Linked DNA regions of Bombyx mori. The protein of the gene in region 1 interacts with the protein of each later gene in a biochemical or structural test. Links are inferred from orthologs where the notes say so. Each region holds a gene or a part of one and is shown in the gene's direction. Other genes may lie near its edges.

Evidence for each region.
Region 2: of the proteins of ubiquitin-conjugating enzyme E2 S (region 1) and ubiquitin-like modifier-activating enzyme 1, one has a biochemical effect on the other in vitro, tested with the Homo sapiens proteins (8 studies listed by BioGRID, with this or other methods). The link is inferred for Bombyx mori from reciprocal best matches to the Homo sapiens genes UBE2S and UBA1.
Region 3: the proteins of ubiquitin-conjugating enzyme E2 S (region 1) and RING-box protein 2 form a complex in vitro, tested with the Homo sapiens proteins (3 studies listed by BioGRID). The link is inferred for Bombyx mori from reciprocal best matches to the Homo sapiens genes UBE2S and RNF7.
Region 4: the proteins of ubiquitin-conjugating enzyme E2 S (region 1) and anaphase-promoting complex subunit 2 form a complex in vitro, tested with the Homo sapiens proteins (3 studies listed by BioGRID and IntAct). The link is inferred for Bombyx mori from reciprocal best matches to the Homo sapiens genes UBE2S and ANAPC2.

Annotation. Positions count from the first base shown.
Region 1 is NC_085116.1:174,443-182,581, forward strand, and holds ubiquitin-conjugating enzyme E2 S, read left to right. Parts: upstream 1-3,229; 5' UTR 3,230-3,364; exon of another isoform or gene 3,365-3,487; 5' UTR 3,488-3,554; coding exon 3,555-3,702; intron 3,703-5,185; coding exon 5,186-5,655; 3' UTR 5,656-6,100; downstream 6,101-8,139. Other genes in the region: uncharacterized protein LOC101745345, read right to left, coding at 789-1,048. UniProt on the Homo sapiens protein: Accepts ubiquitin from the E1 complex and catalyzes its covalent attachment to other proteins. Catalyzes 'Lys-11'-linked polyubiquitination.
Region 2 is NC_085114.1:15,609,228-15,615,930, forward strand, and holds the end of ubiquitin-like modifier-activating enzyme 1, read left to right. Parts: coding exon 1-302; intron 303-1,359; coding exon 1,360-1,618; intron 1,619-2,392; coding exon 2,393-2,568; intron 2,569-3,079; coding exon 3,080-3,301; intron 3,302-3,652; coding exon 3,653-3,904; intron 3,905-4,475; coding exon 4,476-4,781; intron 4,782-5,071; coding exon 5,072-5,845; 3' UTR 5,846-6,166; downstream 6,167-6,703. UniProt on the Homo sapiens protein: Catalyzes the first step in ubiquitin conjugation to mark cellular proteins for degradation through the ubiquitin-proteasome system.
Region 3 is NC_085111.1:9,081,401-9,089,668, forward strand, and holds the start of RING-box protein 2, read left to right. Parts: upstream 1-3,913; 5' UTR 3,914-4,642; coding exon 4,643-4,796; intron 4,797-5,414; exon of another isoform or gene 5,415-6,650; coding exon of another isoform or gene 6,651-7,922; intron 7,923-8,006; coding exon of another isoform or gene 8,007-8,126; intron 8,127-8,268. Other genes in the region: uncharacterized protein LOC101738136, read left to right, coding at 1-52, 265-490, 2,433-2,623, 2,819-2,955; facilitated trehalose transporter Tret1, read right to left, coding at 6,651-7,922, 8,007-8,126. UniProt on the Homo sapiens protein: Catalytic component of multiple cullin-5-RING E3 ubiquitin-protein ligase complexes (ECS complexes), which mediate the ubiquitination and subsequent proteasomal degradation of target proteins.
Region 4 is NC_085131.1:8,613,400-8,621,543, reverse strand, and holds anaphase-promoting complex subunit 2, read left to right. Parts: upstream 1-3,922; 5' UTR 3,923-4,053; coding exon 4,054-6,387; 3' UTR 6,388-6,434; downstream 6,435-8,144. UniProt on the Homo sapiens protein: Together with the RING-H2 protein ANAPC11, constitutes the catalytic component of the anaphase promoting complex/cyclosome (APC/C), a cell cycle-regulated E3 ubiquitin ligase that controls progression through mitosis and the G1 phase of the cell cycle.

The DNA of each region.
Region 1 (8,139 bases):
TAATTTATATGCATAGAAGTTTAATAGGTTTTTACGGTTAGTCAGCATTATATTAGGGTTTTACATACATTGTTTCATTTGATCATATTATATACAATTACCCATTTCAAGAGAAATGAGCACTAAGCACATATACACACTCTATCCAATGATTTTCAAAGCGAAGTAGTGTCCCTTTGTAATAAGGTAACACTCTACAAAATGCATACACCCAGTCATGACTTATGCAATTGTAGTGTTTGCTCATGCAGTCCGCACTAATTTCAAACCCCTTCAAGTCATGCAATCCCATTATCGCAGGATAGCCATCAGGGAACCGTGATTCATGCGGATCGTGGATCTCTATAATGATCTGGAGCTTGACTCCATCAGTATGTATCTTCAGTTGGCATCACTGTGCCACTTTGAGAAGACGGCACTACACGAAAACTCTCTTATAGTGGCCTACGGAAATTACATATCTGATCCTGCAGACGGAATGGTACACTATCGCCATTGTCTAAATACGTCCTTTCGGATCCTCCCGATCCACGGTATTTTTAGGTATCAACACAAGCACAAGCAACCTCACCGTTCTTATCGAACCCGATGTTGCAGTGGACCCTATTTTGTTTTGAGGAGTTTATGTAGCTTACTTGAAGTCTCTGTAGTTTATTTGACTTTCATACATCATTTCTACTTTCTACATGCTAGTTAATCATACAATTTAACGTAAATTAATAATAATAGTATAAAATAGCTTTGGGTGTGCATGTAAGTTTAGTAAAATGTTGAAAGGAAAGTCTTACTCGACGAGATCGTCAAGACCCAGAAGAGTGAGGGGCTCGTCGGGCGGCAATAAATGACCCCGACACAGCAATGACATACAGCATATCTGCAGTCCGAACGTGCGGCAGAGCCTCTGTTGCAGCCACCGTACCTGACGCGACTCCTCCACCCACATGTAGCATTTGGCGCGCTCATCGGTAAACACACGACGAAGGCACACACTAACTCGGAATCCGCGTTCCTGTAAGTCCATTAGCTCGTCTCCCCGTCGTTTAGGCATTTATGAGATCTCTTCTTAATGTTAATCTGTCAAAGAAATTTTGATTTAATCTACTAATCTACTAGTTTTTAATCAATCAGGAATGTGCTTTAATCTCGGCAACATCACACGAACAATTTTATGAATCTTAATTTGCAGTCTCGAAATCTTTTTCGAACCGAATGTCTTCTTGTTTCGTGATGTAGGTTCCCGTTATTTTATTTCTATTTCATTTATTTTACATCTGTGACACATACATTAACAACTTAATATTTATTGCAATATATTAACAATATTAAATTAAATTAAATAGATGATTTATTTGAGAATTTGAGACGAGACCCCAACTTTAAAGTTGGTAGTACCGTAGTACCTAGTTCTATTTTTCTGACTGGAAAGGTTAAGGCAAAGGTATCGCACCATACAGCGTAATCTTTTATCATTAATTTTTTTATTATGAAAAATGCAGAGAGTTAATTGTAGGTACTTATTAACTCCATAAAAAAATTATAATATGAAATGGAATGAAGTTGATTAATTTGGAACATTAATCAATTGTATGAAATTAAATGAAGTGAGATGAGATGATATGAGATAAAATATAATCTTAGTAAAATTGTGGTTATTTAATGAGCCTTTTTACTGGACTTTTCAGAGGATCCCAAGCAGGTACATCCAGCGGCTTTGTTTCATTTTCCCACATTTGTGCACTTTCACAGATACTAAACATTTAATAAGCCACCGTTGTTACACGTTTAAACCTGAAGGAATTGGTCTTAATATTCAGGTCATACAATCCCTTGTAAAAAAGTAATTCTTCCTAACAAAAACAAAATCAGAAACACAATATGAGATGTGTAGGTATTAAATATCTATGTGTCTAGGGACACAAAATTAAGGAGACCTGTTAATACCCCCGTGCACAAAACAAAACTCTGATGTGGACGTTCCTAGATAAGGAATGTACTTTTGAGTTTGTTGGATTCGCCTCTGAACAAATAAAATACCCACACGACCAAATGGTTTGTTAGAAAAGTCATATTAAAATTTATTTTGCTAAAAGTTAAATGTAACATACTCTGGCAATAATTAGACTACCGTACTTTATGACTTAATCACGAACACTAACGATTACTTCTAACGTCTAAGAGAAGACTAAGTCATCCATGAGAACTACAACTGTAAATTACCTGTACGTAGCGCCGGAAATAATAAAACTACAATAAAAAAAAAATTGTGAAAAGACGTTGAGTTTCAAATGTGTCTACCACACGTGAAGTCGAAGAAAATCTATACTAATATTATAAAGAGGAAAGATTTGTTTGTTTGTTTGTTTCGAATAGGCTCCGAAACTACTGGACCGATTTGAAAAATTCTTTTTCCATTAGAAGCCGACATTGTCCCTGATGAACATAGGCTACTTTTTTATTTTATTTTTTATTTATTTTTTTGGTTTCATGTGTGTTTTAATGTTTCCGAAGCGAAGCGAGGGCGGGTCGCTAGTATTAGATAATAGAAAATAAACATGATTAAGGAATATAATTATAAAGGAAGTGAGCGAATGAAAAATATTAATTGAAGTGAGATATAACACCCTTAAGTGTCCATTGAGATGAATTGAAATCACCTTTCAGAATTTACTGAGCTCAATGGAGTTTTTGGAAGTTGCCGCGAATCTACGTTTAGCGATTTTGTTTCATTTCACGCATTTCTACATGTACTTCAACTGATATTAAATCATAAGTAAGCCACCATTAGGAAAGTTAAGGACCATTACATCTGAATGAACGATAAATTAACAAAATAAATCAATTCACATATTTTGCCCTCTCTCTAAAAAGTCGATGAAACAATTAATTGTTGCCAGTTTCGATTTATAAAATGTTCATGTAGATAATTAGTACAAATCAGCGATTTTTAATTTATTTCCCAATTTTGCGAACTTGCAAATTAGATAAATAAATAAATAAAAATATTCCCCAAAGATATAGTAACAAAAAGTAAGATCGGTCAAGATTATTGAACATAGGTAGCTTAGTATTTATAGCACCTTTCACTTATGTCATAATATCTCTATAGTATGTGGTAGTAAGGAACAGTAAGATAAATTAGCATCACATCTGTGATTTAATATATGGAATTTTATACGTAAATATTTAGTTTTAATTAAGAACACAGTGTGACGACCCATTAAAAATTTTAGCGCATTGTGGAATGAATGTTATAGGAATAGTTAAAGCTACCTTTGCCTAATTGGGCAGGCTAATAAAAAAAATGCAGTTTTATGTTTTGAATTTTGAAAATTTTGATAGATCAACTCGAAATCAAATTTGATAAGTAGTGAACATTTTTCTGAATAATAAAAATTGCATGCTCTGTTGTAGAAAGAGATTAATATTTCGAAATTCCTTCTCAAAACAAATAGAAAAATTCTAAAAACTTAGTGACATTTCGTTTTAGTGTAAAAGGTGATAATAACGCAAGCAAATGCTATGAGCGCCTGACATAAAGAAGGAGAAGCAGAAGCATGTCGAACGTGGAAAACGTATGTCCTCAAGCGTTGCGTGGCGTGGCACGCGAACTCCGACAGCTGGCGGCTAATCCTCCGCCGGGCATCAAACTGCAGCTGCGAGACGACGACATATCTGACATAGTCGCGCTTATCGATGGTCCCGGTAAGAATCTATTCAAATATGATACTGCCCTCACCTCCAGAACCGGTGTGACATTTCGTTAAACAAAAGGCATATCTACTTTCTCATGTCATGTAATAAATCAGAGGTGGAAAGGTAAATGGTCCAATGGCAATGTCTGGATTTGTTACATTGAAGTACATCTCAATATTCAACGTCACAGTTACAATTTATACCGATTTTTTGCTATCTGCTTGATATTTATTTTGTTTTGAATGTCATTACTTATATCTTGCAATGTCTCAATTTTGTATGGAAAATTTGGACATGATTTTTTTTCAATCTGCATCTCCCGTCTTTTAGATATTCAATAATTATGGAGTCCTTTGAAGTCATGGTCTTTCTAAAGATATATTAACAGCTGCAGATATTACATTGTCAGAACTTTGTTTAACTTATAATTTAGACCTCTGAAGAGATGAGGAATAGGAGAATCTGACACTATCTAAAAGTCATAATTTTAAGAAATGTATGATGTGTTCTTTTTGCATATGGGACTTTCTTTAAAACTAAACAATAAATAAATACCTTCATAATGAACACCACACAATATAAGCCACAGATAGGTGAACCAATTCTCAATATATACCACTGCCAGTTATGTTCAAAGTTTTCAAAAAGCTGTTGTCATGTTACATCTTACCTTTATTGGAGAAAAACAAAATCATCCCAAAGAAGTTTAGTTTTAGGACGACATATTTAGTAGTTGTGCAGTTATAGAATGATAGAGAAAATGAGAAAGTCAGGTGTTTTTAGGCCTCTCAAGCACCAGTCCTCCTCGGTTGATTACGACTAACCCATACACAGCCCACTGAGTATCTTGCTGGATCTTCTCAGTAGGTCGCAATTCTGATCTGGTGGTAAATGTTTCAAAGCACTGTTCTTGCTAGGTCTAGTGCTAGCAAATTCTCTCAGGTTGAGCCTGTGAGCTCGCCTATCTGTTCACGAGAAGCTGGAATATCTCCACAGGATACTAGCCAATAAGTAGGGAAAAATTATACATATACACATTTTTTTATGTGTATGATTTTTATGCTTTTTTTTTTCTAATTGAATTAATGTGTCAAAATATTTTTGAGCATTTTTGTATATAGTTGTTATATCTAAAGCTGTAAGCTGTAAGCTGTGTTAAGTAAAATGAGATTTTAGTATGGCCAGAGGTTTAATATTTTTTTTATTGCTTTGATGCATGGACGAGCTCACAGCCCACCTGGTGTTAAGTAGTTACTGGAGCCCATAGACATTTACAATGTAAATGCGCCACCCACCTTGAGATATAAGTTGTAAGGTCTCAGTATAGTTACAATGGCTGCCCCACCCTTCAAGTCAAAACGCATTACTGCTTCACGGCAGAAACAGGCGCGGTGGTGGTATCTACCCGTGCGAACTCACATAAGGTCCTACCACCAGTAAAAACCAGATTCAAGGGTATCAACTAAATTAATGCAAAAGTTGATGATTTCAGCGGAGACGCCGTATGAAGGGGGCGTGTTCCGCGTGCGACTCGTGCTCGGACGCGAGTTCCCCGCCAGCGCACCGCGGGCATACTTCGTCACCCGCGTCTTCCACCCCAACGTCGCCGCCGAGACTGGCGAGGTCTGCGTCAACACGCTCGCACGCGACTGGCGCCCCGAGCTCGGGCTCCGGCACGCGCTCCTCGCTCTGCGCTGTCTGCTCATCGCGCCCAACCCTGACTCGGCACTCAACGCGGAGGCCGCCGCCCTACTGCGCGACCGCTACGACGACTACTTCGCGCGCGCCAAGCTGCTCACCGACATCCACGCGACTCGCAGCCGCGCCCCCGCCCCCGCGCCCGCCGCCGCGCCCGCGCACGCGCCCGCCGCCGCGCCCGCGCACGCGCCCGCGCCGCCCGCCAAGCGCCGCCCCGCGCCTCCCCCCCGCGCAGACAAGCGCCGCATCCTGAAGCGGTTATGAGCCGTCCCGAGATCAAACGATCAGACCACGCAAATGGACTCGTCCAACACGAGCGAACTTTAAGATATTTGCAAAATTGAACTTTAAGTAGTAGGTGAACTTTTTAATAATTTAATGTGTATCTGCAAAAACTGAAATCCTTGCGTTGAGTGTGCGCTGGACAGTCTGCTGCCCTTCCCCCATCTCCTTCCCGAAGCTCTTCCCTCGCGAACGTCGAGTCACTAAATAAAATCTTACCCCAAGTTAATTGAGTTAGAATCCTCCGTGCGGCTGGAGCTGAGCTGCGAGTGGCGCGGCTGGACAGAGCGCTCTGCTGCACGTGACGCTCGGAATATAAATTCACAATATCGCTATTAAAATACGTTTCCATAGATTTAATTCCTAGATTTGTAATATTGTATTGAATTAAAATAGAATAATATATTAATAACTGTGCGTACAAAAATGCGTGTTTTAATTCATAATTATTCAAACAGTAAAAACACCAAATTTTATGCTGTTCGGATATTGAGTACCGAGTACACCGTAATCGTCCGGTGTAGTGGTGTGACGTCACATGTGGGCACGCGTGGGGACGCTGACGAGGTCAGGGCCTCCCCGCAGCTCGATTGGAGGCGATGAGTTGTTCTGATTTGTGCCCTTTTTAAGTTAAGATGAAATTGTTAATGGAATGAGACTTGTTGCAAGGCATTTTATTAAACGGCCTATTTTTTTTAAACAAACCTTATACGGGTGATCTAACAATGTGTGTTTCGCTTCCAAGTAAAATCCAGCTTTTAGTTAGACACGTGTATCAACAGTTATCCGAATTAAAATTGTGAAACCTTTACAGCACGAGGTATCGTTTCACTCACTAATATATTAATTATTTATTTATTATTTAAGTTATTTTTTTCCTACCTATGCTGATAGCCTTGAGAGGCTATTTCAGCTTCGCCCTAACATGTGGGTGAGCTCACGGTGAGGCCCGAGGCCGAACCTCCTACGAGGTCCCCGCGCCTAGGGTGCGCGCGGGGCATGTGGGACTTGTCCGCAGACTGCGGGTCCAAGAATGTTTTCAGGGCCTTACCTACCCACTAAACGACTCTCCTGCACTCTTCGCCCAAGCCTCCGATCCCCTCCGAGGTCAGAACCCGGATGAGGTAGGGGGGTTACTGCGGTCAACACTGCAAACAGACAGCGCAGCTCACCCCAAGGACGCCCAGCCGACGGAGTCTTCGAGGCGAATCGAAGGCTCCGAAACATAGGCCGTCTCGGTACGGCAGTCCGTCAGACCGCCCAGACGATGCCGCTGGTGTCCCGGAATACCCCGCTAGACCAGAACCAGCCTGCCGGGTTGGGCCGCGATACACCGCCAATCCGGTTTGCTCTATTATAGATACTCCTTGGCGGCACGCTAGAGTGCTGGTAGCGCGCCTTTGCCCCCTCAGGTTGCCCCTTGACCTTCACCGGGGGGAAGCCGCCAACTATAGGGGCCAGGACGTACGGGCGTAATCCCTCCTCTAGCCTCCGGCTCGACGGCGACGGATCGGTGCGAAAAAGGAAAAGCTCTCTTTCTCTCGTTCCGCCGCCTCCTGACCGCGACGAGGGCGGCGCGCTGCTCGTCGAATCCAGAGCAACGCGCCAATGTGTGTTCCGCAGTGCCATCCTCGTCGCGGTCTACTTTTTTCTTATTTTTTTTATTGCTTAGATGGGTGGGTGAACTCACAGCTGACCTGGTATTAAGTGGTTACTGGAGCCCATAGACATCTACGACGTAAATACACCACCCACCTGCGCAATGGTGGCACTGCGCCGTCGGTTCCCTTCCGGTTGTTTTATGCAAGTACCGGCTGAAGCAACCGTGGCCGGTAAGCATCTGCGTAAGGGCCTGGCCACAGCTACTGGCGGTGCGTTTTGCGGTACGTTACGAGGTGCGGCGTGTGGCGCGATTTGCGGTGGTATGCCACAGCTAGACTAGTTGCGACGGCGGCGGCGTCAGAGGTGCGCGTATTTAGAGAGCCTTATCAAATGTCCCTATCAAAAGTGGCACGATATTACCTTGAAATAAGTGCGTTCTTAGCTGAAGATATTATTTAATCAAGAATAGGAGCGCACTCAGTTAGAAAAGGAGAGAACTTGGCGAATTTCACACTATTTATTAGGAATATAAGAACTATCCCGATAAATAGATTATTAATAGAAAATAGATTCAACCTTCACAGTGATTACCAGGTTCAAATCTCAATTTACCATTCGTGTTAATTGGCGACGAAACCTATCTTAAAAATTATTTAATGCGCCCATATCCACCGGGTGGTTTAAATGCGGAATAAATAATTTTCGACAAAGGATTATCCCGGGCAAGAGTCACAATTCAGTACGCGTTTGGTATTTTAACTAATAAATTTCGTATTTTTATAAAAAGTGGAAAGGCAAACAAAAAGCACGCGACATTGAATATAAACGTTTCGTGCCTGTTACACAATATTATAAGAGAAAGAG
Region 2 (6,703 bases), on another chromosome or scaffold:
GAGGAGGTATTGTTACACAGGTCAAAATGCCCAAGAAGATCAACTTCAAGCCTTTGAGTGAATCATTCAAACAACCAGAATTCTTGATCTCTGATTTTGCCAAGTTTGAATATCCACAGCAGTTGCATTTGGCTTTTGCTGCTCTTCACAAGTTCCAGGCTGGAGAAGGTCGTCTGCCAAAGCCATGGAATGATGAAGATGTGGCAAAATTCAAGCTGTATGTGAAAACTGTTCTAGAGGATGGACTTTATAAGGATGAAGATTTTGAAGTGAATACTGAATTATTGGAAACATTCTGTAAGGTAAGCGGTGGTCTAAAACATTGTTACACTAGTCATCAATAAGCAAAAAAAAAATTATAAATAAAACCAAGTAATCTATATATATAAAAATGAATTACTGTTCGTTAATCTCGCCAAAACTCAGGAACGGCTGGACCGATTTGGCTAATTTTGGTCTTGAATTATTTGTGGAAAGCCCAGAGAAGGTTTAAAAGGTAGATAAATATGAAAATGCTCAGAACTAAATAAAAAAAAAAAATTGTTTTTCCTTTGATGTGTTGGCCGTCAGACGATTCCTTTTGTTTGTTTTAAGTTTATTTTATACAAAAGTTTAGTTTAGACTGAGGCACTACGAAGTCTGCCGGGTCAGCTAGTTTTAGATAAAGATAATATTAAAATGTATTAAATATTATTTAAATTATGTTTAAATTAGTAGTAGTACTGTGAGTTACAGCTTATTGCTGTACAATAATAATAAAACGATTTATTTCATATTAGTTGGGGATATTGTCAAAAATAGACATAAAGAAGAAACAGCAAAAAAGTTAAATTTGGAAGAAAAAAAATACGTTGGACCTCTTATTGGGTCTTAGGATTAAATTTTTTCTTATATTTTATTATAATATTATTTCAGACAGTCCCTTATCAGTAGAAGGCTTTTTATATATTTTGTAAACTTACACCTGAAGGTACAACTCTTCTACTTTTATTGTAAATACAAATTATAATAAAATTATTTTCTACCTTCCTGTTGTCTTTCATATAAACATTTGTAATTACACACTTGAAATACCTGTTTGATTAAAAAAAAAAACTAGTATTTTTACAATACATTAGTGTGTAAAATAATTTATAGACAGTTTATTGCACTTAATGCTTCACTACTATGACATGCTGTTTTTATATGGGCAGTGGTAATTGTTCCATACATTTATTGTGTCCAGGTTTTAGGATAAAATATGATAATTCTGGATGTTTCCATCTTTTCAAAACAATTTCCAGGGAACCAGCATTGTCTCAAAAAATCATGATTATATGATTGGTCTTAACATAACATTTAATTTAATTTCTTTTCCAGATATCGTCAGGAGACCTAAATCCTATGAACGCAGCGATAGGCGGTGTGGTTGCTCAAGAGGTAATGAAGGCTTGTTCTGGCAAGTTCCACCCACTTGTACAGTGGCTTTACTTGGATGCTATTGAGTGCTTACCTAAAGACCATTCAACTCTCACCGAAGAAAATTGCAAACCAGTCGGTTCACGATATGATGGACAGGTAGCTGTTTTTGGTAGAGAATTCCAAAAGAAACTTGGACAGCTGAAGTATTTTATTGTGGGTGAGTATCTGGGACTCTGAACACTTTTAAAAGGATTGATTGATTGACACGTGAGGAGAATGATAATTATTGTCATTCTCCTTATGTGCAAGACTATTCTGGAGTGAAAGGCTCCCATGGTCAACTGATATCTATTCTAGTCTTAATTTATATCACACACTGTATTTTTAATCTGCAAACAAATATTGTTACCATCCCTTGGAACTTGACAAAATTTTCTAGCATCAGTTATTCTGTAAATATGTTATGCTGTTTGGGAAATTGCAACATAAAGTAATAAGTAATTAAAAGTAAAAAGTAAGACTGACGTCGTTGGTCGTCGACTATCGCCTCGACGACCCGTCGGTCGGGCGTCCTCGGGGTGGCGCCGCGTGTCTGGTTGTAGTGTTGACCGCGGGAACCCCCCTACTCTGACCGGGTTTTGACCCCAGACGGAGATCGGACGCCAGGTGTAAGAGTGCAGGGGAGTCGTTTAGTGGGTGGGCCCGCGGTCTGCTCTCAACACCTGCAGATCGTTGAGTCTCACATACCCCGCGCGCCCCCTAGGCGCGGGGACCTCGTAGGAGGTTCGGCCCTCGGCCAGGAAAAAAAAAAAAAAAAAAGGGTTTCACACTCAACTTTATGGAACCTGTGTGCTCTCTTACATATATGGAACATAAATAATTCTGTAAACTCAAGATTGGTAATTTACTAATGAATAATAGTCAATATGAACTATCTGTATGAAGCTACACAAAATATTAGTATAGTATCATATGAAGTTTATCTCTTCAGGTGCTGGTGCTATCGGATGTGAATTATTAAAGAACTTTGCCATGATTGGTGTGGGTGCTGATGGAGGACAAATTACAGTCACGGATATGGACCTCATTGAGAAGTCTAACCTCAACAGGCAGTTCTTGTTTAGGCCTTATGATGTACAGAAACCGAAATCTAGTACTGCAGCTAATGTAAGTTGCTGGATTCGTAATGACATTTGAGATCACTTGTGTACTGCTATAGAGAGCACAAGAGTAGCCATCTACACAGGGTTTGCTTCGAGATTACTCCCTGAACCAGTGAATTTCAGTTTAGTTTCAAATTCAATGTATAAATGTTTTTGCTCGCCTAAGTTTTAATGTTTCCCTAGTTGGTTTCAGATATTACACAATATATATTTTTTTTACTTTATTGCTTATATGTGTGGACGAGCTCGCAGCCCACCTGGTGTTAAGTGGTTACTGGAGCTCATAGACATCTACAACGTAAATGCACCACCCACCTTGACATATAAGTTCTAAGTTCTTAGTATAGTTACAACGGCTGCCCCACCCTTCAAACCGAAACGCATTACTGCTTCACGGCAGAAATAGGCAGGGTGTTGGTACCTACGCGTGCGGAGACACAAGAGGTTCTACCACCAGTAACTATAAATATATACTGTAATACTCAAATACTTTTAATATATTTTTTTTGTCATAGGTAATTAAACGCATGAATCCAGCAGTAAATGTTTTGGCACAAGAAAACAGAGTTTGCCCTGAGACCGAGTCCGTCTACAATGATGCATTCTTTGAAGCATTGGATGGTGTAGCCAATGCACTCGACAATGTCGACGCCCGTATATACATGGACAGACGGTGTGTGTATTATAGAAAACCTTTATTGGAGAGTGGCACTCTTGGAACTAAAGGAAATACACAGGTTAGTAAAATCAAAAGCATTTGAGATACAATTTGAAATAACATGAAACGTTGAATAAAATTAATTGGTTAATGATCAAATATAAATTAGAACCCTAAGAGAAAATAATAGTTATGAATTGATTTAACGTTGTCTAGTACTTATACTGGAAACACAAAGATTTTTAAGTATCATTAACTATTCAAACTTGGTAAATTAAAAAAAAGTTGTTTTGATACTGATATCTGAATCTTCACAATCTTTTAAACATAAATCAATAATATTTCATAATATATAAGTAAAGAAAATATTAAGCAAGATATAATCATATCAAAAGAAATAACATTAATACATCAGTAATTTACGTTTTAGGTGGTTGTTCCATTCCTTACGGAATCTTACAGCTCATCCCAGGACCCTCCCGAGAAGAGTATTCCTATTTGTACGCTCAAGAACTTCCCGAATGCCATTGAACACACACTACAATGGGCTCGCGATGAATTCGAAGGTTTATTCCGTCAGGCTGCTGAGCATGCTGCCCAATACTTGCAGGACCCGAATTTCTTGGACCGCTGTCTTAAATTGCCTGGTACTCAGCCTTTGGATGCTATTGAGAGTGTGCGAGTAAGTGTATATAACATATTTTTTATTACTCGTAGTAAACATACTGTCTACCTAATAACCTGATCACTGCCCTTCAATACAGCTATGCAAGAGTAACGACTATATTAAAGTACTACGCCTTCTCTCATTCAATGTTTCCTAATATCAGTTAACATGCACAGACAAATTTTAGAATGAAAACCCTTCCAAAATGTTTTCCTGTTACTATGAAGTAAAAGGTTGTAGGGGAATGATACCCCGCCCTGCTTAGCTGCTTGCTATGTATTTATAGTAATGAGCAACATACGTTAGTCAGTCAGTGGTTTACATGCAGCGATCCACCGCGGTCGCTGACGCGAATAAACATGTGATTATACCTAGTGTTTTATTGACCGCTCCGATGAGGTTTATGGAGGACAACACGCAACGGACAAACAACTAACACACACACCTCCTCCATCTTCTCCATAAAAACCTCACAAGGTCAACTTCTACAATAGAAACGAAAAATTATACTCATTTCACTCCATTCATTTTATTTGTTTCTCTTGAAAAAAACAAAATGTAAATCTCCAAAATTGTTAAATTACAGAACGCTATAAACGAACGCCCTCACAGTTTCGACGACTGCGTGATATGGGCGAGACATCATTGGGAGAACCAATACGCGAACCAGATCAAGCAGCTCCTTTACAACTTCCCGGCGAAACAGTTGACCACGAGCGGAGCGCCTTTCTGGTCCGGACCGAAGCGTTGTCCTTCACCCCTCGCCTTCGATCCTAATGATGAACTACACGTCGATTACATTGTTGCCGCAGCGAACCTCAGGGCTACGGTATATGGAATCCCATCCTGTGTTGACAGGGAAAACATCGCCAAGCTTGCCGCTAGCATACAGGTACGTAAAACTCTGAATAAATCATTGTTTACGGCAAGAGTAACTCTACTTATGTTGCATCTTGGATCATGTGATAATAGGTTGTAGAACAATTTGATTCATACACCTGGTGCATCCGCTTCTATTTAATAGATATTAACTAGTATCACAGGCATTGTTAATGAAATATCAGACCTATATTTGTTAAAATTTATTATTTTCCTATAAACTAGAACATTACAAACAACAACGAAACAAAAATGTATCCTAGACATTTGATGGTGGTTATTTTATTCTATTTTATAATTCAGGTACCGAAATTCAGCCCCAAATCCGGCGTGAAGATCGCGGTGAGCGACGCCCAGTTACAGCAAAACAATGACGAGATGGATCAAGACAGGGTTAAGAACATGATCGCAGAGCTGCCGTCTCCAAGCAAACTCGGATCTCTTAAGATCACACCGCTAGAATTCGAAAAAGATGATGATACAAATTTCCACATGGACTTCATCGTTGCCGCCTCCAACCTGCGGGCTACCAACTACAAGATCACGCCAGCCGACAGACATCGCTCTAAACTCATCGCTGGCAAGATTATCCCTGCCATTGCCACTACAACATCCGTGGTGGCTGGCTTAGTCTGCCTCGAACTTTACAAACTGGCCCAAGGCTTCAATAAGCTGGAAGTGTTCAAGAACGGCTTCGTCAACCTTGCCCTGCCCTTCTTCGGTTTCTCTGAACCGATTGCGCCGTCGACCAACACCTACAATGAGAATAAGTGGACATTATGGGACAGATTTGAAGTTAAAGGAGAGATTACATTACAGCAATTTTTAGATCACTTCAAAAACGAACACAAGTTGGAGATCACCATGTTGTCTCAAGGTGTGTGCATGCTTTATTCGTTCTTCATGCCCAAAGCCAAGCGGCTGGAACGATTGAACCTGCCAATGTCGGAGGTGGTCACAAAAGTGTCCAAGAAGAAGTTGGAACCGCATGTGAATGCATTAGTTTTTGAATTGTGCTGCAATGATGATGACGGGAATGATGTGGAGGTCCCGTATGTAAAATACACTCTGCCTTAGTCTATTTAATGTGATCTTGAGCCCTCCCAAAGTGGTGCTGAAAAATAATAGTTACCACTACGCAGAGAGGGTTCTATTTAATACCGTGATAGTTAATATAAATTGTGTGATTATATTTGTGCTTCAGAATTTGCTTCAGTCTAAATTTCAAATAATTACTCATAGTCGTTTCGTTTCATTCGTTTGCTCACTGTCAAATGATGATGTGCTGCATTTTTATTATTATTTTACGTCGTGAAAAAGTTTTTTACCAAATTCGATATTTTATTGTAAAATCAGATGGGTCTGTATGTGGAACGAAAAATAAATAAAAAACCAACATACTTTTGTTTCATTTATTATGTAAAAAGGTATAATAACGAAAATATTCCGGACATCTTGCTCGGTAGTGCCAAAGTCATATGGTTCAGGTAGAACTTGATTATTTGAATCTCTTCACAAAAAACGTTAAAAAAATAAACAATCTTTATAAAATATTTCAAAAACAAAGTATTGTATTTTAGGTTACATTTAGTATGCATATAGGTATAAAAGCAAATACGCCTCGGACACAAAACTCCAATAACGAGTTAGTGAATTTCTAGTGATGTAAATTATATTTTGACAAGATTTTAATTTGTGTCTTTTATCAACAGTAAATATTGAAAAGAAATTGACATAGATTTTCGTAAAACTTGATGAGCCCTGGAGTTCGTAGAGATAAGGAGCACTCTACGGAGCCAAAATTAGAAGATTGTTTCTTTACATTAATCGATGAGTAATGTTTATCGGCTGAGGCTGTATTTGTTTATAGACCCTTACATATTGGGAAAGCATAATTCAATAATTTAGTACTTATGACAACACGAGAGAGATCAA
Region 3 (8,268 bases), on another chromosome or scaffold:
GGCACAAACGTACCAATAGTCATGAGCCCAGTCCTGGAAAGAATTCAGTCAGGTAAGGATTGTGTGTTACTGTTGTTTTTTAGCGTGCAATTCATTATTTTTATTCTAAAATTGTATCATAAAATTGTAGTTTGTAATATTAAAATATAATTTTATGTGTGTGTCTTGTGAATTTAATAACAAATGCTTTTTCATATTACAACTAATGTAGAAACGAATATAAAAATAAGTAGATTTAAACAAAACATTATTTTATTATTGCAGTTGGAAGAAGAATTGTGAATCCTCTTTGTGGTTCACAGTTTGTTGATCAATTGTCAGGCACGAGACAGTTTGACGACTTCGTGGAACCTGGTTATATTAATTTCTACACAGTTAGTCCCAATTACTTTTATGTACACAATGATAACAGAAGAATCAGAATTTCTCGAAGTGCGAGTGGGGCTGGAAGTCTTGTTGTGTGTCATTCAAGAGCTGTTGCTCAACCAAGGTATTATGTGTTCGTTCAATATATACTTAGTCTGGCCATAAATACCGTTACAAAGGAAAACAAAAAAAATTCTATTGCAAATAACATTTATTACTTTTACAGTGTGTTAGTTTAATACATAAATATAAAACAATTTAAAGTATAAAAAGCTTATTCGAAGTGGTCTCCATTGGCTGCAATACAGTCCTTTAAACGTTGAGGCCAGTTATCAATAGAACCACGCACTCTTTCCATGGGATTTTTTTTTCTGCCAATCGGATTGTTTTAGGGACTCCAAATTATCATGGCGTTTAGAGCAAGCCGTACTCTCTAAAACTGACCATAAATCATAATCCAGCGGATTAAGATCGGGACTAGACGACGGCCAGTCTTCAGCTCTGATGAAGTCCGAAACGTTCGTTTCCAACCAAGACTGCGTAGACCGAGCTTTATGACCTGGCGCCGAGTCTTGCTGGAAACACCATTCTTGATTATTGAACATGATGTTGTTAAGGGGCTTCATTACCTTCTCAAGAATGGTATCTTGATACACTTGTGCCGATGTTTTGATACCTTTTTCACAAAAGTATGGCTCCGTCACTCCTTCATAGCTAATACCCCACCAAACAATCACTGAAGTCGGATAGTACCCACGTAGCACTCTGTCGACTAAATGGGAAGCTTTCTTAGAGCTTTGAGCATAAATACGGTCATTTTGTTTGTTAAAATGTTGCTTAATTGTAAAAATTTTCTCATCCGTAAACAAAATTTTTCTATGACCTCCCTTTGCGTACCGCTTCAGTAGTTGTTTCGATTTTACCTCCCTATTCTCTTTTAAATTATCAGTCAAGAAATGACCAGTACGTCTCTTATGGGCTGCAAATCCTAAGTCATCTTTTAAAATACGCGACATGGTTCTAGTGCTATCTTCATCTCCCAAGATAAAATCTTTTGCTTTCGGACAGGGTTTCTTCGAATTCTTTCCCTTACTGCTTTAACCACCTTTTTTGAACGAACACTACGTGGAGGGCCAGATCTTTTTCTGTCACAAACAGAGGAGATCTCATTGCACCTATTAATAGCCCGGTACACAAACATTTTACTAATACCAAGCGTATGGAGAGTTTTAAAAATTGCATTTGGCTCCATACCTACTTTGTGTAATGTGTAATGCAATCACAGCGATTCGGTTCTCTTTATCACCCCACTCCATTTTAATATCGCAAAATATTGTACAATGTATTGCATTGCAATCATATAAAAACGACAGATTCCAAATTCAAATGTAATATTTTTTTATTTTTAATTGTAACAGTATTTATGGCCAGACTAAGTACATATAATTTAGAACTCATATAAACATACGTATCTATGTATATTTTAATTCAGTTATTCCGTGAACGTAGTTAAGTATTCCTTAGATTTTTATAATTTTTTCTTAATTGCAAAACATGGACAAACAAGTTCATGCTCCACCCGGTTTTAAGAGCTTATGAGAGACCATCGTAATACCCTTAAACTTCACAGTTAAGTAGAAATTTCAAAGGAGCGGCCGACAATATTATGACGCTCCTGGACACTCTTCTGGGGTAAATGCAGGAATCCGGGCAAAAAAATAATAATGGTCTTGGTATTTAGAGTTTACAGATCACGATACACAACGCAGTTCACAGGTTAATTACGATAAACTCAGCATTAAAAAAACAACGGACAGTGCTTGCCAATTCCTTCCATTCTACCCTATCTAGACTCTGCTTACGTTTACAAAGTTTTGTGACGTAAAGAAAAGTAAATATTAAACTTGTAAATGTAATTGTGGTACCAAATCGTGCGGGCTCACAAATTCGTTCTTGCACCAGTAAATGCCAGTAGACGATCGCTTTAGAAATAGTCTAAAAACGCTGTTGCCACGGGAAAAGGATGGTATTATTCGAGATGCCTTTAAAAATTCTTTGACTTCCAGACGCAACACAACAATAGTAGGACTTGATCCAAGCGCAATAACTTGTGAGAATTTGGCTTCCACCGGAAATATTGAAATAAGGCTGCAGAATGCTTGCGACAGTTTTTGGACCATAGGATCATGTCCACCACTACACATTTCCGTACAATCAGAAACTGGTGGTGTTGATGCCACAAGCGCGATTTGCACAGGTATGATTTACATCCAAAATTATATGGGTATTTTACTAATATTAATAATAGTTATGTCACTTTTTAATTGAGTACCTAGTAAGTATTGACTAATAAGAGATTCATTCAAATTATATGTTTTTTCCTCTTACACCTTTTTTAACAAATTTCACATAAAGAAATGGTCATTCCTAATGGACTGTTTTTTAATTCTAGATGCTTCGGTATGCAGATTCCCATACAACATTAGATATCAAGTCCAAATTGAAGACCTGGGGTGTTTTAGTGGAGCATCAAGTCTAGGAGCCAGCCTCGCAATTATTCTGACTTCTTTGTATCTCGCAATATTCTAACTGCGGGTATTAAATTTGGAGAAGCGTTATTTTTTCCTACCGATAGTAATAGTACCAACCTACTTTTAACACAAAACAAATCTATAAGTTATCGTTCATTTTGAATATCGTATTTTGTTTCATACACGTGTAGTTTAAGATTTCCAATTTACAATAAGATTGTACAAAAAGCGTGGCGGAGCCTATTGAGTATAAAACATTAAATATTATAATATATACATATTATAAAAACCAGATATAACAGGGTTTATTGTACTTATTTTATACAAAATATAGTTTCCATATATAATACATTAAGTATAAACGTAGACTTTAAGCAATTTTCGTGTTTTTTTATAAATAAAATCTACTGTAACAAATAGCCTTTGTATTATTTTTTATTCTATATATGTTATTAGTTCTGAGTTATTTGGTAGGTGAGCTCGCGGGGCTCAACTTGAGTGTGCTAACACTGACCGTAGCAAGAACTATGCTTCGCAGAATCTACCACCGGAACCGAAGTACAAACACATCACTAAATCAATGGCCCCATTCATGAAACCGGAAGGCATTACCTACTACTTCGTCATAGATAATGCACTTATTATGTTTATTACTTCGTTAGAGAAATAGGCAGGGTGAAATTCCACAAGACGATCTGGGTCGTTTTCAAATTTGAGGCCAAACTATCGTAAAGCTATCGTATCGTAAACCAAGTATTGTATTAATGTTATCTTATAACATTGTGTCGTAATATGAAAAATTATATGAAGCGAAATGAGACATTAATCGATTGGAATTAATTTCCATCTTCTTTTTCATCGTTCTCTCACCGCTGAGGATCGCGACCACATGTGATTTTCATCCACAGTGTTTGATCATGGGTGGCATGGACCGCATGATATAGACTACCACCAACCAGATCTGACCATCTGGCTGGCGTTCTGCCTACGACGCGCAAAAAAAAGAAGGTATTGCGATTTAGACTATTTATTTATCAAATTTGATCTAACGCTTTTTAAACCTTTTTATTTTTAATTAAGCACGGTCATCCGGCCCCAATTTAGGATTCCCTGTGTTACGGGTACCAGAGACTACTAACATACTTATATACGTTCAAATATATACATATGTATATAGATAATAAACACCCAAACAAAGAGCAAACAAACTGTTCATCACGCAATGTTTGCTCGATGTGGGAATCTAACACATAACCCTCGGCGCAACAATCAAGGCCGCTAGGTACTGTACCTCCGAGTCAGTCCTAAACAGTCCAATATGTCATGCAGTTCAACTGACGCACAGGGTACATCTGTAAAATACGTTTACGGTTGCTGTTACACTAATGTTATGAATTAACCCACCAACGCCATCTAGTTTCTTTTTGTTAACTTTAAGCCAATATTCCCCGGATTAAAAAACTCATGGGATGATTATTCATTCATTAATTGCGTGGATGTAATTCAGAGTTTATACGAACATTACGTCGAAGATTACTCTTTAAATTAAATCTTTATCAGTATAGGCTATTTCCTTTTACCGCAACAATTAGAAAAGTCAGTCTGTCAAAGCTGTCACTGCCACTTCAAAATCTCACCTGATTATGTTTTTAAAAATAGTAAACAAGTCGAGCATTGTAAATGTACGCATTTAATTTTCAATAGTTACCTTAAATATTTACCATAAACATTAAAACGCATACATTATGTCCGGTGAAGACTGTGATGGTATGGACCGTGGGGATAACGATGGTCCAAAATCCGATAAAATGTTCACATTGAAAAAATGGAATGCTGTTGCAATGTGGAGTTGGGATGTTGAATGTGATACTTGCGCTATTTGCCGCGTGCAAGTAATGGGTAAGTTTTTAATTATTTATGTTGTTTATGAATCAATTCATAGATATTCATCAAAGTGATAGTGAGTCAAATTTATTTAACAAATTAATTGCTTGGACAAGATGACAGTTATTTTCCAGATTAGAATATATAGAACTATTAAAGAAAATATTACTACCCTACTATAATCATATTACAAGTAATATTTAGTGTGCTGTGCCGATCATAATTAGAACTAGATTTTGAGCACTAAGTATGTTTTCTTAAAAGTATTTTATTTTTATTTTAAGTTAAGATGAATGTTGCCAATTAGCATTGAGAGTCATTACTTTTTTTAAAATGATTACATTATTTAGGGATAGAATATAATTACTAATATATTAAACAAAACAGTAGTAATATTGTTCTATCAATGTTATATATTTGGATTTTCAAAATTAAAAATGTTGTGTGCGTGTGAATTATTCTCAAACTATTTAATTACGCTTTAAATTTAAGGCCATAATTAAGGCATTTTAGTTTAAATTTCATTATATTACATTGAAATAATCCTGTTTATTAATCCATCAATCTGTTAAAGAATTGTAAAGAATACTGACTTAAACATAAATATTATTTTGCCGTAGTAAAAGCAGAATCGATTGATCATACTTTCTTTAATTCTAATAATTCTCTCTTAATACAACATAATATAACATAATAACACCTAGGTCCTGGGTCATGTCCTGGTTCTGGGTGGGCTATATACTTTTGAACATTACCAATATGTCTCCTCTTAACTTGAACTGTTTACTAACTTTCATGAATGGAAACATAGTTACACTTACAATTCATATCAATATGTGTGCTTGTCAAATTAAACAAATAAATAATAATAGTCATTGGACCGACAAATCAATATGTTTGAAAGCTGTACAATATAGATTCCATGTGGTCTGGCCCCCCTTGTTTCGTAAAAATAATAGTTAACTATTGTTTTCTTAGTTAGTTCTAAAATTTGAAATTGCAGGTACATATAACTCTATTCATAGGCACAATTCGATTAAAAGAGATTAGTACAGTGCCTTCAATGTAATGATTCTGTGAATTGTAATGGTTCGAATTATAATTTAAGGATGTGACTCTCTTTCCATTAAGTGAAATTTATTCTTTAGATCTTACCATTTATTTTCATATTAAAGTTTAAAAAAAACATTTTTTATTACAACTAATATAAGTAACTATTTTTTTTTTTTTTTATTGCTTAGATGTGTGGACGAGCTCACAGCCCACCTGATGTTAAGTGGTTACTGGAGCCCATAGACATCTACAACGTAGATGCGCCACACACCTTGAGATATAGTTCTAAGGTCTCAGTATAGTCACAACGGCTGCCCCACCCTTCAAACCGAAACGCATTACTGCTTCACGGCAGAAATAGGCGGGGCGGTGGTACCTACCCGTGCGGACTCACAAGAGGTCCTACCACCAAACTAAATAAGTAACTTATGATTTTAACTTTACGGCATAGATTAAACTCTGTTATAAGATTGCCAAAAAGCTTAGTATTTTACATGAAGTAGTGTATGATACAAACTACAAAATAAAATCATTATAAATAGTTACTAAATGTAATAATTTCCCAATAAAAACTACTAAAATACTTTGGCATTCATGTCATAAATTATAATCCTCGTAAAGTCTACCTACCAATAGAACCAGTTACAACAACTAAGTATGATACCATTGTACTATTAGATATAAGATTTTTTTATAGAAATCTTTTTCTACACAACGTTTTTACTGCCTAAAAATTGTGAAAAGAATATAGTAAAAGTTATTAATTGCTACTTTAAAGCTAATTTTATTCAATTAATAAATGCTTAAAACATCTTCTTAGCATCCGTTTGGCAAAGGCTTAATGTTTGCTATCGAGCTTAGTCGACGAGTTCTGGGTTTCTCTTCTCTACCGGTTATTTTATTTTCAATTTGATCAAGGCTTTTGCCTCTCGTTTCTGGTACGCAAACAATAACAAAGAATAAGCCTACAAAACAAATACTCCCGAAGAGCCAAAACGTGCCCGCCGCGCTGATCGCATCAACAATGTTCTGAAATGTTTTTGTTACAATAAATGTACATAGCCAGTTAAATGCCGTGCAGATTGAAGCAGCGCTACCTCGAATCTTTGCTGGCAAAATTTCACCCATCATTAACCATGGTATTGGCCCGAAAGCCAGTGAGAATCCTAACAAGTATATCATAACGGTAGTCAGTGGTAACCAACCCAAATCAGATACATCTAATTTTGCTTGGTATTTAACATAGAAGAATGTACCCAAAATAATTAAAGTAATAGTCATGGTCACTGAAGAGATATATAATAACAATTTTCGTCCAGCTCTATCTATTAGCGCCGTAGCGACAAAAGTGGAAGCGAAATTAACGATTCCTACAATAATTGCTGAAAGGTTTTCGTCCACAGAACTTCCTGACATTTGAAATATTGTCACAGTATAGAATATGACGGCATTTATACCAGAAAGCTGTTGGAAAGCCATCAAACCGAGAGAAATAAGTATCGCCTTCGTATATTTGATGCTAAAAAGATCTCGTATGCTTGCATCATCGGCTTGAGCCTCTGCGTCTGAAACTGCAATCTCTCGAATTTCACTCTCGATATCACAATTTTTCCCTCTAAGCCATTGTAGTGCTTTTCGAGCTTCTTCCATGCGACCATGCGAAATATACCATCGGGGTGTCTCCGGGATAATGAACATCAAAATAAAGAATGGAATGTTCATAGCAGCACCCAGAAATGCAAGCGCGGACCAGTCTAAATATGTGCCAGCTAGGTAACAAATTAAGATACCTATGTTACCAATTGCTGTAGGGAATAGTCCTAAAGTTCCTCGGACTTCTGGTTGGATTGTTTCCCCTAAATAAACCGGAAAGGCTAAAGATCCCACACCAACACATAATCCACAAATAGCACGCCCGACAAAAACCAATTCGACAACGTGTGCTATGGCTATAACTATCCATCCCACGCAGAATGGCGGAGCTATAAGTAGTATAGTTCTACGCCTTCCTAAATAATCCACCAAGGGTCCACCGATCACTCCACCTGCGAGTGCCGCCAAAGGCATCAAGCTTCCAATCCAACTAGCCTGCAAAAAAAAAGTTAAAGTAGATTTATGGATAAATATTTGTTTGTAATCAATTAAATTACCGACAAAATAAAATATACTTGCCTGTTCTTTACTGACTGATATAACAGTGCTATTCTTCATTGTAACAAGACCAGTTGAAGTGTAACCTGACGAGAATCCTATAATCATGGAGCCCATCGATACAGCAATAGCAGCTAAAACCTGGAAATAAAATAAAATAAAGTAATTTTATTATACTTTCACAAGACACTTAACCATAGTCGTGTTTTAATCTTTTTTTTTTTTTATTGCTTAGATGAGTGAACGAGCTCACAGCCCACCTGGTGTTAAGTGGTTACTGGAG
Region 4 (8,144 bases), on another chromosome or scaffold:
AAGTTCAAATGCATATGTATTGTGCTAAAAGTAAAACTTGCTACTTTTGTGTAGCATCCAGCAACTTTGAAAAAACTAATCAGGTCACTATAATTAGTAGGTATTGATTTTGATTCTGAGTAAGTTGCACAGTTGTTAGATAATGTAGTTTCTTTTTGGAAGAATAACAATTTTCTAATCTTACACAAAAATGTAATGTTAAATATTTAAAAAAAACTTTATACCTATTTTCCTTTTAGGGAGTACAAAATATTGATGTGTACAAAGTGAATGTCATTTAATAAAAATAATATTTCAATTTAAATTATGTTTTATTAAAAATTATTCTTAACATACAGGTACAAAGGTTACATAACATTAATTTTTATTCCTTTTCATATATATAAGCCCATATTTAGCACATTTGTGGAAAACAGAATCAAAATAATAATGAGTTGCTAGCCATAGAAGACCAGCATAAAAGTCTTATTAAAATCTGTTCAGTAGTTTTTGAATGAAGAGTGAAAATACTTACAAAACTTCCTATTTATAAGTAAGGATTACTTTATTATTTAATTAAAGAGTTTTGTAGGTGGCAAACTATCTAAAAACTTTCTATTTTCCACCAAGTTGACATCAATTATCCTTCCTGCATATATAATTATTGTATTGTTTTTTTTATAGTCTAACAAGGGGTGATATTACATTTGCAATTTCTGGGAGTTTGTTGAAAAATATATTATATATATATATATTGCTTGCTTGACTTACAGATAAATCGAAATCATCAGCCAATTGAGAGAATGTTCTATTTAATGTTATTCTCATCAGACATAATATAATATTTTGTTCAGAAACATTTGTATGTTTCTCAATCAAGCCTATTATGAAACATAATTCTTGTGGAAGACCAATATATAAACGTTGTTTATTTTTCACTTTAGATAAAGTTGTTAACACATTCATTTTTTCAACTTTTTAGTCTTCTTGAGAGCTATAGTCTGAAGTGCACAAGTCTTTGATGGAGTGGAGATATAGAGAGATAACTCATAGTCAACAGTTGATCCTTCTTTTGCTGAGAATGAATATTTATTTATAAAATACACATATGTTTTGACCACGAATTTTGCACGATAATTTAAATTAATATTCATTAATATTAATTTAAATAAATATGAATTCATCTTCTTCTTCTATAACCCATAGTCAACAGTTGATCCTTCTGTTGCTGGTGCATTTGACTCGTCACTGTCAAATTTGTCCTCAGGAACAACAGTTTTTTTTTTGCTGGTTCTGATTGTTTACTTATACTTGCTTCAGATATATTAAGGGGTGATGTGGCAATACACACTTGCCTTGCCTTTGTGTTACTGTGCTGGAGCTACTTGGATAGCTTTGTCATTACTACACCTATTTTCAAGTGGCTGGACATCTGGAAATATGAAATAATGTTAGCAATTTCCAACAAACGTATAGTTTGTAAATATATAGGATTATATGTGTACTGTCGTAGTAGTAGTAGTAGTATTTAACTTCCTAACTTCATCATCATCAGCCCATATAATATATCCCCTTGCTGGACACTGGCCTTCACTACCATTGAGAGGGTTTTTAGGCCTTAGTCCACCACGCTGGCCTAGTGCTGGTTGGTGGATTACACACCTAAGAAAATCCTAAGAACATTTAGGTATGCAGGTTTCATCACAATGTTTTCCTTCACTGTTAAAGTAAGTAAGTGATATTACACTGTGATAAATTTTCATTTTCACAAACTTCCTAGTACCTTATGTAATAGGAACTGAGATCCACTTGCCCATTTTGGCTACTTCCACTAACTAACTAACTATTCTCATTTTTTCTGATATTGTTATTTGATTAGGAGATCTGTGAGTGTAACTAATTATTGACAGTTACACCTACCTTGACTACAAGATGGCAAAGGTATAATAATACGACACATCTCATTTTTAGTCGTCTCTTCAATTTCCTTGATAATAGTGAGTCTTTGCCGTTTCACAAATGCAGGCCGAGGTTCACTATGAGTGAATTTTCGTTTTCTATCTGCCCGACAATCGAATTTGGATGGTAAACAGTTTGGTTTCATTCGAATTCATTTAATGGAGCTCATTATCTTGTATTGCATATAATTCTCCATGTAGTTTTCCAGCTAAAACATGAAATAATTTTCCAACAATTTCAATACATAACCTATAAAAAAAATATTAAAATGTTATATTACTAATGTTAGGAATATAATTTCGACTGTGTCAAAATGTTATTATAATGTATACCTACATTATCTCTTGAAAGATAAATAATGAACATATTTACTTATTTGTTTATATTACCTATGTGAACTCTTAACCTATCTTTTTTATACCTTCATAGCGATAGGTATATAGGAGGATGGAAAAAATGTATTTGGTCTAACTTTACGCGAATGCACATTATTTTATTTATTTATTTTTTAATTTTTTTAATTAAACTGTATACCAATTAATCGATCCTTCAGGATTTATAATTGTTTTTTTTTCACGATTAAAACCGCGTAGAAAGTTTAGGCATTATAGTTGACGCATGCGCCATAGATTATACACTTATGGCATGCGCAGTACACATATTTTGTATACATTTATTCAACTAATACAATTAATTAAACAAAAAATGAGTAATTTCGAAAGAGAACAAACGTATTTTATATAAGAACAATCGAAAATGAATATTTACGAGTAATTAAGGACGAAAAAATTTTAAAAATTGCAATCGAGGGGCTAACTTTTAGATATATTTTTAATATTTTTTTTAAAATAAATAAATGGGGAACAAACAATTATTAACAATGAACAATCAAGAACAAATGATGAACAAACGAATTAATAGAAAATAAGTAGAAAACAGGAAAAAAAAATTTTTTTGAGGGGCTAACTTCATTCACCTATAAAATCACACCATTTAATTTATAACAAAGGCCAAAACCATATATTTTGTTGTGAGAAAAGTGAAATAGGAATTTTGCACAAAAAAAATCCGGCGAGTTATTTAGCCGCGTGGAACTAAATTAAATGTCAGAAATATTGGAGCTCAATGAATTTGGCCCCCCCCCCTTTGTAATTATTGGATTTTTTATTTTTAATTGTTATTTCGTCTTTTATTTATTTATAATTAATTAAACAAATGATCACCCTTAAGTCGGCCCCTCTTACTAGATGTCTTTATTTCTATCACTCAGACTAATTAATTTTGATCAATTATCGTTTGTTCGGCGACTATTGGTGATTGTTGCATCATAAAAACAAATAAATTCCCAATTATTAATTATTTTATATCTATTAAGCAATCAGGCCTATATTGTGCATGCGCCGGTTTTGTCAGTCACCTATCAATGGCCGTATTTACTAGCGTTTTGTTAACAAGTGCGCTTAAACTGTCTAATTATTTCCTAGGTAGATCAAAAAAATATTGAAAACTTCAACAATACTTCAACAAAAAAATGTCAGTGAAGACGACCAATTAGTCGTTAAAGTACGATTCGCCCGGTTTTAATAAATTCAGTTATTTTTAATTATATTGAATATTAACAACCATATAGAAATTTCAGTGATTTCTAATTATTCTAAGAATATTAAATTAATAATTGGGAATTTAATTGTTTTTATGATCGAGCAATCACCAGTAGTTGTCGAACAAACGATAATTGATCACAATTAATTAATCTGATCGATAAAAATAAAGATATTTTGTAAGAGGGGCTAACTTAAGAGTGATCATTTGTTTAATTATAAATAAATAATGGACGAACAAACAATTTTTACATTCGAACATTAACGAACAAACGACGAATAAATAATTAAAATTAAAAAAATATATTTGAAAATTAAAAAAAGGAGGCCAAATTCAGCTAAAATACTAACTCTATGGCACAGGACCACAGATCATAGATTAGACACTTAATATCCACAGATTAATATATTAGGATTGAACGCAAAGAGTAAAGTGTAAACATTAATTAATTTATTTATGAGGATATCGTTCTTAGATCTTAGATCTTATGTATAAGATAACTGACCTGCAATAATGATGAATATAAATCATAAAAAGGAAGATTTGAAACTGTACTGGAATAAAATAAACTATGCCTATCCAATTCTCGATGATAAAATTTTCAGCGACTGTACTGAGGCTGAATACGATGAAGTGCAAGTGTTAATAGTTAATTTGGGTGTCCAAATAAAGATACGTGATCTTGTATTTGTTCATATTGAGAAATATCTACGACAACATGTCGCATCTAGTTTTTGGTCAAAATATATTAAGACCGCGGAAGAAGTTAAAGGATTTCAACTATTTAAATCTTCAGTGAATGATCTCTATGAAGCAGTTTCTAGTTTCTCACCCATGTTACAAAGATTGACTAAATTGAACAGTAGTTGTAATGATAATAAGTTAATTTATGGCGAGAAAAATCTTGTATTAGGTTTTAAGCAGCTCGTCCGAGCTACTCTTCTGTCTCAGTTACCCATCGACTTTCAGTGTATTATAAACCAATTCTACAAAATATCTTTTAATGTTTTCGATAATGAATATGAAAACTCCGACATGGGCGAGGACATAATGTGTTCTGGTTGTGGAAACGAGTATTCCGATTGTAACTGTGCATACATTGTGAAAGTATTTCATGAAACAAATAGGAAGTTGGTGGAGTTACAATTGTTAGAAAGACTCACAGGTCAAGTTCTAACTAATTTCATCCAGTTGAGAATTCAGTCTCATATACAGAAAGTATGTACTGGCACTTTTGATGTGTCCCACATTGAAGCATTAGAAAGTTGGCTTAATACGACAGTAATGTCTTGGTTGATCAGAATTTATTGTGCTGGCTCCTCCAAACCTCCACCTGATGATAAAAATATACAAAATGCAATCTCAAGATTCAAACAGAAACTCACTTACTATCTCTATCATAGCTACACAAAAACAAGAATTGATCAGCTCTTCAACATCATTATAGAATATCCTGATTCCCAGCCTGCTGTTGATGACATCAAAATTTGTTTAGCAAAAACAGATTTGAGACCAACTCTATGTAAAAAGTTACAGAATGCATTAGAAACAAGGCTTCTTCACCCAGGCGTGAACACTCCTGACATACTCACTGCTTACATATCTACTATTAGAGCTTTGAGACACCTAGATCCTTCTGGTGTTATACTGGAAACAGTGACAAAACCTGTTCGTAATTATTTAAGAAGTAGAGAAGATACAGTGAGGAGTGTTGTGAGCAGTTTGACAGAAGAAGGTGCTGGTAGTGAGTTAGCTGAAGAGCTAGCTAAATTTGCAGCAGAAGGAGATGGCGATGCCGATAAAGATGAGGCTTGGGATGAATGGAATCCTGATCCAGTTGATGCTGATCCCAAAGTTGATTCAAATGACAGAAGAACTAATGATATTATATCTATGCTTGTTAATGTTTATGGTAGCAAGGAATTGTTTGTTAATGAATATAGAACTTTACTAGCTGATAGATTACTGGCTCAAAGTGTTATCAATACAGAAAAAGAAATTAGGTACCTGGAGCTATTAAAAATAAGATTTGGTGAATCACAATTACACTTCTGTGAAGTCATGCTTAAAGATATATCAGATTCAAAGAGAATTAATTCCTTAATACATCAGGACAAAACCATTGAGGAGCTGAATAAGAAATTTACTTCTAATGCAATGATTTTATCTGCACAGTTTTGGCCACCATTTAAAGATGAAAGTCTGGAATTACCAGAAGAAATCAAGGAACATTTTGAAGCATACACTAAATCTTATGAAGCTTTAAAAGGTAATCGAACATTAAGCTGGAAACCACACCTTGGAAATGTAAACTTAGAGATAGAAATAGGCGAAAAGAAGTTAGATCTGACAGTTTCACCTTTTAATGCGACATTGATAATGCATTTCCAAAATAAATCTGAATGGACGTTAGATGAACTCCATCAGGTGATGAAAGTTCCTATTACTATTCTGAGAAGGAAAATAACATACTGGCAATCGATGGGTTTAATAGCAGAAAAAAGTACAGATCACTTTGTTTTAGTTGAAGCTGATAATAAAGCCAGTGTACCTTCACATCAAGTACAGGAAATGATTTGTGAAGATGAAGAAACGGAGAGTGCCATGGCATCAGCACATGATCAGCGGGAAGGTGAACTGCAAGTTTTTTGGTCTTATATTGTAGGCATGTTAACAAACTTGGACTGTTTGCCTTTGGACAGAATACATCAAATGTTGAAGATGTTTGCTTCCCAAGCTCCAGGCACTGAATGCAGTCTTATGGAGCTGAGACAATTTTTAGACACAAAAGTAAGAACACATCAACTGGTACTTCAAGGAGGCATGTACAAATTGCCTAAGACATAGATGTTAATATTTATCAGAAATAAAAAAGAACTTGAAAGTTAACAAAACTTTATTTTCACCTTTTATATATTAATTTGGTTACATTACATGTCTATTTAAGTTAAAAGTTCAGATGCTTAAAACAATTTCTTTAAGCTGTTCCATCAACAAAATACATTATAAATTAAAATAAGTAATACCACCACTTGACTATAAAATAATACGAATAACATTTAAATACTTAGTGAATTTAATACATTATCATGTGTCAGTCTTAATATCTATTAAAATACTGTTTAAATTAAGAAGTAAGAATAAATAAATAAAACTAATTTGACAAGAAAAACATACTGGAGATAATACAGATTCATTATAAATATGCAGGGTGGAATGCATTTGGTCTAAAAAAAATTAATTGCATGGTTTGCAAAGTTTTCAATAATTTCAATATTTTCTTTTAATTACACTTTAATAGGTCATTATTATGTTACAATATTATGCCAATAGGCAGTTCCTAATAAAATGGAATGTTAATAATTAAAGGTAGTGCCAATGATGATAGAAATATTTGAGAAGTCATGCTTTAGTCTAAATAACCTTTTTTAAGCTTTACATTTTTCAACGAAAATTCATTAGTAGCCAATTTTAACATTTATTACTATTAAAACAGTATGTTTGATACTTTGAATTTTAGAAAACACAAATGTGCAGTTAAGTCCTGTTATGTTACGTTATGTATTTGTGAAGGTTTAGTAAGATCATGAAGCAAAATAAATATTACAGTTTATTACCTATTTATAAACAGACCTACAACAGTTAAAGCTCTACAGTAGTTTACATATATACAAGTACATCAATGCAATGTCGAATGTTTGCACGAAACTATTCAAATAAAGTAAAATTTTGGGGCAAAACGAAACAAAAAAACCCATTAAAACAGTTTTTATGTATTTCAGAACAAAAATAATACGTAAATCCGTTCGCACATCTATTTTATTATCGATCGGCAAAAAATGACCAGTTTTCTTGAATTTCATCTCAGATCAACATATATTGGCATAAACTCATTTAAATACCTAGTTGAATAAATCTCTCAAGTTACTTAGAAGTTAATTGAAGTTAAATAAACATTTTCGCAAAAATAAACTTTGCATTTTAAATGCAAACTAACGAACTACAACTTTATCTTAGAAATAATTAAGTACTTTAATAATTCATTAAGTCCATCCTTCAGGTGAAAATCTTGTGTTTGCTGGTGAACGCATTGCATAATTTTGGATAACATAAAAATTCTTTTTAAATGTTATGGTCGTATTTCACAATTCTGAAACGATTACATCGGGAAAAGGCAAATATTGGAGATTCGGAAAATCGTTAAAAATAATAGAATTTTGAAATTAGTTTCTACATAATATATTAAAGATCTTTGGCACTAATATTTTATTTTTATAATGGCTTGACCAAAGGATATTGGGGTAGGTACCAAAAGATACAATCTTGGCAATCATTATTTCTACATAATATGTGTACCCATTGTAATTAATACGCAGGATGTTGAATCGTTATTAGACAAACTGATTTTAAATAAGATACGGCAAAATAACGAGGACCACCAATTAAAAATCCCTGTATTCAGATCCTAGACATTATGAGATTTTTACGGCTAAATAGGTAAAGTAAATAAATCATAGCTCATTCTAAAGGTTTTTAAAACTTAAAAAAACATTTATGATATAATTTATATACACTCAAAGAGTATTTTTCTCTATGCCTCGTAA